Diceros bicornis minor: one gene and its partner. Each later gene encodes a partner of the first gene's protein in a complex. Links are inferred from orthologs where the notes say so. Each region holds a gene or a part of one and is shown in the gene's direction. Other genes may lie near its edges.

Region 1 (3,744 bases):
CCCGGAGCCACACTCAGTTGGCCTGCTGAGCAGTCCAGCTCCAAGAAGCCTGGGTCGGCCGCAGGGCAGAGGTTTTGAGGGCCATACCGAGGGGCTGGGCTTTGGACGGTGGGCGGGGAGTCCATCCAGCTCCAGGCAGGGGAGGGGCCCAGTGAACAGTGAACACTGAGTCGCAGCCTTTGGCCCCCGCTGTTCTTTCTAAGGAGATAATCAAGAGCTCCCAAGTTCAAAGCCACTCTAAGTCTCAATTTTCTTATGTGTAAAATGGGCTAATACTAGTGGCTAAGTGAAATACACTTCTCAAGAGAGAGAGTGCGGTGGAGTGGCTATGAGCTCAGGCTTCAGAGCCACACTGCCTAGGGTTGAATTACTGGCTGTGTGATCTTAAGTGAAGTCCTTAACCTCTCTGTGCCTTAGCTTCCTTATGTGTAAAACAGATAAGTATTAGTGTAACCTCATAGGCTTGTGTGACGGTGAAGTGAGGTAATGCATTTAAGGTGCCTGAAACTGCCTGGCTCAGGAGGTGTTGGCCAGTGGTACGTGAAAACGCTGGGCCTCCCCATCTCCTCCGCATTGCCTAGGATGCTCAGGACCTCACAGCCAAGAGTGGGCAGCAGCGCCCCCTCCTGGCTGCCGAGAGAAGGAAGGGAGTCCTCCGCACACTGCGGCGGCCAGCCCCGCCCCGTTCCTCGGGGCCGACTGGGCGGCCTCCGGAATCCCTCTGCCCTCCGGGTTTCCGAGCGCTCCTCCTGTGGCGGGCTCTGCGTGCCCGCTCACACGGGCCGGTAAACGACACCTTCCCATCTAATTCTCGAACAGCCCTCGGAGGCAGACACGGTTACTGTTTCCATTTCACCCAGGGGGAAACTGAGGCTCCGGGAGGTCGAGTCCCCCGCCCCACGCCACGCAGCGAGGGAGCGGCGGACGTGCGGGCGGGCGGCTCTGGCCGTCCCCAGCCTCCGCTCGGTCGCCGCGCAGCCGGCCCCGGTCACTGCGGCGTGTGCGCGCCGGCGCTGTGCGCGTGTGCGCGCCCCGAGACCAGCTCCGGGGCCAGCGGCGCGGTCGGGGGGGGCGGGTAGGGAAGGAGGGGTGGCCCCGCGGACTCGCGGGGCGCGCGGGCGGGGCTTGTGCCGGGCCCCTGGCCCGCCCCCCGGCCCCGCCCGCCGGGCTGCCGCGGAGGCGGCGGCGCTGGGCGCGGGGACTCGGCGGGCGGCGAGGAGCGCGGAGCCGGAGCCGGACGCCGCCGCCGCCACCGCCACCTGCGCGGCCGTCGTCAAGGTAGGGCGGCCCCGCGCCGCCGGCCGCGCCTTCCCGGCCTGCGCGAGGTGGGCGCGCCGCGCGGCGGGCTGCAGCGCCCGGGGAGGGATGCTGGGGCTCGGCGCGCCGCGGAGACCCGGCGGGGCGCGGGGCACCTGGCTTCCAGCCCCTCCGCGTGACCTTGCACAAAGCACTGCTCCTCTCCAGGCCTCAGTTTCCCCGTCGGGATAGCGGGCGCAGTGATGGCCCCTTCCTCGCCGGGCTGTTGGGAGAGGCCGCCCCGAGCTCCAGGCTCCCGACGTCTCGGAGCCCGGATAGGCACTGTCTGCACAGCCCACCCGCAGTGAGGGCCGCTCACCCTGGGTGTGGCGAGCCGGTCCCGACAGGCCTCCTGTGGGGGATGCCCCGCGGGACCCGTGCTGGGACTCTCCCCGTCTTAGCTGGGTGACTTGCTGGGCGAGTAGGGGAAACGGGAAGCGGGGGACACCCCAGGTCCCTGGCGAGCCGGCCTGGGCATGCAGGGCGGGGCGGTCCGAGTCTGCGCGCCAAGTCTGCCTCGCGGTCTGGGGCTGGGGGAACCTTGGTTTGGAGGCGGTGGGCCTCTCAGCCGCAGACTTGCCTGGACCGGACCCATGCAGGCAACCTGGATTTAGGGAATGGTATGGGATGTCCCCTTCCTCTTCTCTGCCTGGTCAGGTGCTGGTGCCCAGCTCTGTGTCCCAGCCGGGTGTGATAGCGCTGGCTCACATCCGTGTGTGGACCCCAGAGGGGCCACAGTGCCAAGAAAGCTGTGTCTAGGTGCAGTTGGGTCTGAGACAGAGCACATGTCTGAGGGACTGTGGATCCAGGCTCTCTGGGTAAAGAAGACCTCTGGCATCTGGCCCAGCCCCTCAGTAAGATCCCCTCTGGAAGGTCTTGCATGTCCCTTGTGATGGGGATCTCACTAGCTATAAACAGAGCTGGAATCTGCTGGTCCTGCTCTGGGCACAGAGACAACATCTGACCCCTCCTCTCCTGGGCCATCATCTGGTCCCTTAAATCTGCTCACCTCCTCCAGCTAAACAGCCCCAGGCCTGGCACTGTTTCTCCTGCCAGAGCCAAAGGGAGCAAAGGCAAGACAGGGAGGTGGGTGTCTGCCCCAAGAGCGAGCAGTGGTCAGCGTGGGGCTTGTTCAGGAGCGGCCTTCATCAGGACTGGACTGTGTCCCCTGTGCTTCCTGCACTTCCTGCACACCTTTGGGTTAGCAGCTGCCTTCGGGGTCTGGAGGGAGGGGAGGAGCCAGAGGAGCCCTCTCCAGCCTCCCTGCCCCAGATCCTCTGCCTGTCTTCTCCTGCTGCCTGCCCTGACTGAGGGACTAGTTTCTGAGAATTGAGTCTGGGCCTTCTGGTCTCCCTTGTACCCCTCATGACCTATTCCTCACTCAGGAGCTTTCTTACAGTCAAAAGAAGGGAGAGACCTCCTGAGCAGTGGTGAGCTCTGTGTCCTTGGAGGTATGCAAGTAGAGGCTGGATGAGCACTTGCTGGGGATGAGCTGCCTTTGACTACAAGTCTGGGAGTCTAGGGTTGAAGCAGAGTGACCACGACCTTGCCTTCTGGCCATGGTGGAGCTGCGCAGAACTCGGAGTGGACCACAGATGAATGTTATCATCCCCTCGTAAAAGCAGACTAAGTATATGTGCTCTCACTCAAGCATAGAGACGACACACAGGCTTAAGTGCTACCTAAGTCTCCCATCCTATCTACGTGTGTATCATCAGGGCCCTGTTTTCTTGCTCGACTGGTCTAAGCCTTTTGGGCCTGATTTAGGGGCATGGCAGATTCTAGTTATTAAAAATTATCATGTGGGGCCAGCCTGGCCCGGTGGCGTAGTGGTTAAGTGCACATGCTCCGCTTTGGTGGCCCGGGGTTCACAGGTTCGGATCCGGAGCGTGGACCTACGCACCACTCGTCAAGCCATGCTGTGGTGGCGTCCCATATACAAAATAGAGGAAGATGGGCACAGATGTTAGCTCAGGGCCAATCTTCCTCATAAAAAAAAAAAATTATCATGCTATGCTAATAATTTGAAAATGCACCATGGAATTATGGAATGTCCAAGCTGAAAGGGATCTTAAGAAGTTATCTCATCCAACCCCCCTTTTACAGATAGGCCTCCCCTATCCCCAGAGGAGATGTGACTTGTCAAAGGTCACAGTAAACCAGCAGCCAAGCCTAAGGATCCTGATTCCACAACCAGAGTGTGTGTGTGTTTGAAAACACATACCACATAGTAAACAAAAGCAGTCTGTGTTTATTCCTATAAAATTAGCAAAAATAAATAGAAAAAGATAAACCTCTGTGCTGGCAAAGCTGTAGGGATTCTCTGGTGGCATGTAATTTTGCAGGGCAATCTGGTAGCTTGTTACAAAAGTCCGTGAAAATGACCCTAACTGCCCTTCGCCCCCAGCCTTCTCCTGTGAGGACTTTACCCTGAAGAAGTAGGTATAT
Region 2 (3,744 bases), on another chromosome or scaffold:
GCTCCTACACCCCTGGTCCCCCTTCCACTGCCCTCAGAGAATCTCCTGACCCTCACTTTACCCCAGCCGAACTTGAGTGGGTAACCAAGGAGAAGGGGGCCACACTCCTCTATGCCTTGCTGGTACGGGTGGAATGAGGGGTGAGACCTCACTACTACAAGCACAGTTGGGCCTTGGGCCTGTGGACTCTGAGTGACGACTGCCTCCAACTCATTCCAGTGACCCATGGCATGCACAGGTGCTCAGTCTGGCAAATGCACAGGAGCGTGTAGGCAGGCTCTCAGATTTAGATGGGAAGTGGAGCACATCTCCATGTCCAGGGCGCGAAACACTCCCTCTGAGGTGAGGGAGCTTGTGGGGAGCCCAGCTCCAGGCCCTGGGTAACTCCTCTTCATGCACTGATTTGGGGAACACGACTCCCTATGATTCCCTCCCCCATATCACTTAATTTATTTCCGTTTTTGTTCTTGGTTACTGTGAATCCCAGAGGAGTCTCCCTGTGCCCCACATGAAGCTGCTTTTTCCGGGGGCCACCGGGCGGGAGTGGGGAAGGGCGGGTGCAAGGCAAGATGGGGGCCCTCTGTACAGTTGTTACTGACTCTGATTTCTAAGGAGCCAATAAACACCGTCTCAAAGCACCCGCCTCCGCCTCTCTCTCGCGTGCCCCTCGGAGGATCCCCTGCCCGCTGGGGCTGTCCCCGCTGTGCCCGGCCCCGCCAAATTAGAGGCCCCGCCCGCAAGTCCAGAGCCCGCTTGGGGCGCCCCGCGGCTGGCGCGCGGCCAGGAGCAGCGCCGGCTGAGGCGCAGCGACGGGGTTTGGACGCGACGGGCACCCGTCGCAGGCGCTTCCGCTTTTCCCTCTCCGCCCCACCCGCGAGGCCGGCTGCTGCCCTGACTCCGGAAGGACTCGGGCCAGTTGCCGGATGTGACGCAGCGGCCAAGGCGCGCAGGAGGCCGCGGAGAAAGCAAAGAGAAGGCGGGTAGGGAGGGGCCGGCGCCCGGGGCTGGCGGGGCAGTGGGCGGGGAGCGCCGCGGCCGGAGACTCGGGCCCCGCCCGCGCACGCGGTGGAGCCGCGGCTGTCTTCCGGGCCGGGCTGGGCGGCGGGCGCCGGACACGTGACCGGGGCGGCGGGCGGGCTTCCGCCTGGGCCGGGTGCGGTCCCTTCTGAGCGCCCGTCTGCCCTCAGGCCCGGTCCGAGGTCTGGCAGTCAGTGACAGAGTCGGGCACCCACAGCCCGAGCGCCCCCGGCGGCACCATGCCTGCGCTCTTGGAGCGCCCCAAGCTTTCCAACGCCATGGCCAGGGCGTTGCACCGGCACATCATGATGGAGCGGGAGCGCAAGCGCCAGGGTGAGCCGGGGCAAAAGCGGGTAGACACACGGCCCAGGGCGGTACCGCTACCCCAGGGCTGACTCCGACCCACGGGCCGACCAATGCGCTGGCCGTCGAAGTTAGAGGAGGGAAGGAACAGCCCCGTTGTGGTGGGAGTTGGAGACCAGGTCTAAACTCCAGAACCCTTGAGCTGGGAAGGACCTTGGAGAGCACCTAGAAAAACCTCCCTCTCTCTGTCCCCTGTTGCGTTGATGGGGAAGCCTGTCCCCTCAAGAGGGAAAGAGCCCTTACTAAGAGCATAAAGAAGTATTGGGATAACCAGTTTTTGCTGTTCTTCAATCTCTAACGTTATATTTTAACCACACTGCAACTTGCTCATTCTGCCTGACTCTTTCTCCAGAGGAAGAAGAAGTGGACAAGATGATGGAACAGAAAATGAAGGAAGAGCAGGAGAGAAGGAAGAAAAAGGAGATGGAAGAGAGAATGTCACTAGAGGAGACAAAGGAACAAGTAAGCAGTCCCTTGCTCTCTCCCAGTTCTTCCTTCCCTTAGCTCTCCTGCCTTCATCTTCTCTCCCCTCCCTTCCCAGATCCTGAAGTTGCAGGAGAAGCTTTTGGCCCTACAGGAAGAGAAGCACCAGCTTTTTCTGCAGCTCAAGAAAGTTTTACATGAGGAAGAAAAACGAAGGCGCAAGGAGCAGAGGTGGGATTGGAGAGCTAAAAATAAATAAATAAAATTGGGGGCAAAGTGTAACTGGGATCAGGTAACAAAAGGTCCCTGTTTAATAATGAAAGAGGGAGGACTTGTCTTTGATTTTGACCAGCCTTCCTTTCACTCCAGTGACCTGACCACTCTGACATCAGCTGCGTACCAGCAGGGCCTGACTGTCCACACAGGAACTCACCTCCTCAGCATGCAGGGTGAGGAGTACAGAAACCACTTGTCAGAATGGGCCCTCCTGGGGGTTGCAGCCCCCCATTTCAGCATCATGAAGCCCCTCTCCCTCTCTAGGGAGCCCTGGAGGACACAATCGCCCAGGCACCCTCATGGCAGCTGACAGAGCCAAACAGATGTTTGGACCCCAAGTGCTTACGGTAAGAGGAGGATTGGGTGTCTAGCCTGTTGTTTTTCCCTACTTCCACCCAGACCCAGGCATCCTCCCTGGACCAGTACAGTCATGCGTTGCTTAACGACAGGGATATGTTCTGAGAAACATAATGGAGTGTACTAACACAAACCTAGATAGTATAGCCTACTACACACCTAGGCTGTATGGTGGTGATCTTATGGGACCATCGTCGTATATGTGGTCCATTGTTGACCGAAACGTCGTTATGCAGTACATGAATGTATCAAACACTTAACTGTATAGGGAAAAACGGGGCATACACAAGTCCCTGGAGTTTCTGCTTTCAAGGAGTTTACAGGTAGTGAGTTCTCATCCTCTCTCCTTAGACCCGGCACTATGTGGGCTCAGCAGCTGCTTTCGCAGGGACCCCAGAGCACGGGCAATTCCAAGGTAGCCCAGGCGGCGCCTATGGGACTGCTCAGCCCCCACCTCACTATGGACCCACACAGCCTGCCTATAGTCCTAGTCAGCAGCTCAGAGGTGAGTGGTGGGAAAGAGGGAGGGGGGCTTTTCTCAAGGCCCAGAGGGAGGAGTGTCAGAATCAGGCTAAAGAAGGTTCTAATGGCTGTGCCTCTTGCCTTTCTCAGCACCTTCAGCATTTCCTGCAGTGCAGTACCTGTCTCAGCCACAGCCACAGCCCTATGCCGTGCACAGCCACTTCCAGCCCACCCAGACAGGTGATAACACCCCACGCAGGGACCCCAGTTCTGAGTCCTCCCTTTTTCTTTCCCGTTGTCTACTCATTTCACACACTGCTTTTCCCCACCTAGGGTTCCTCCAGCCTGGCAGTGCCTTGTCCTTGCAAAAGCAGATGGAACACGCTAACCAGCAGACTGGCTTCTCTGATTCAGTGAGTATGGAGCCTTGGGAGGTCAGGGTAAAGGGTTACAGTAAGGGGACCCCCAGGCTGCCTCTGATTCTAACTCTCTTCTCTGCAGTCCTCCCTGCGTCCCATGCACCCCCAAGCTCTACATCCAGCCCCTGGACTCCTTGCCTCCCCCCAGCTCCCTGTGCAGATGCAACCAGCAGGAAAGGTAAGGATTGGTAACCAAACCTGTCAGAACCCCTACACTACCAGGGAAAATAGAATTGGGTAGGACAGGTAGCCCACACCCCTGCTTTTTCCTTCCTCCTTGGGGGTGGTTGTCAGTAAGGGTATGAAGAAAGGAGAATATGCATACTGACAAAGCCCTCCTTTCATCGCCACCACCAGTCGGGCTTTGCAGCAACCAGCCAACCTGGCCCTCGGCTCCCCTTCATCCAGCACAGCCAGAACCCACGAT

Evidence for each region. Proteins that work in one complex are often made in the same cells at the same time.
Region 2: CORO2A (region 1) and GPS2 share a complex: the UniProt entries of both Homo sapiens proteins name them as parts of the N-Cor repressor complex. The link is inferred for Diceros bicornis minor from reciprocal best matches to the Homo sapiens genes CORO2A and GPS2.

The regions. Positions count from the first base shown.
Region 1 is NC_080767.1:8,386,021-8,389,764, reverse strand, and holds the start of CORO2A (coronin-2A), read left to right. Parts: upstream 1-1,168; 5' UTR 1,169-1,278; exon of another isoform or gene 1,279-1,325; intron 1,326-3,744.
Region 2 is NC_080757.1:10,978,686-10,982,429, forward strand, and holds the start of GPS2 (G protein pathway suppressor 2), read left to right. Parts: upstream 1-863; 5' UTR 864-976; intron 977-1,121; exon of another isoform or gene 1,122-1,187; 5' UTR 1,188-1,256; coding exon 1,257-1,350; intron 1,351-1,732; coding exon 1,733-1,842; intron 1,843-1,921; coding exon 1,922-2,034; intron 2,035-2,172; coding exon 2,173-2,252; intron 2,253-2,343; coding exon 2,344-2,426; intron 2,427-2,787; coding exon 2,788-2,941; intron 2,942-3,048; coding exon 3,049-3,138; intron 3,139-3,231; coding exon 3,232-3,311; intron 3,312-3,399; coding exon 3,400-3,495; intron 3,496-3,674; coding exon 3,675-3,744. Other genes in the region: NEURL4 (neuralized-like protein 4), read left to right, coding at 1-137. UniProt on the Homo sapiens protein: Key regulator of inflammation, lipid metabolism and mitochondrion homeostasis that acts by inhibiting the activity of the ubiquitin-conjugating enzyme UBE2N/Ubc13, thereby inhibiting 'Lys-63'-linked ubiquitination.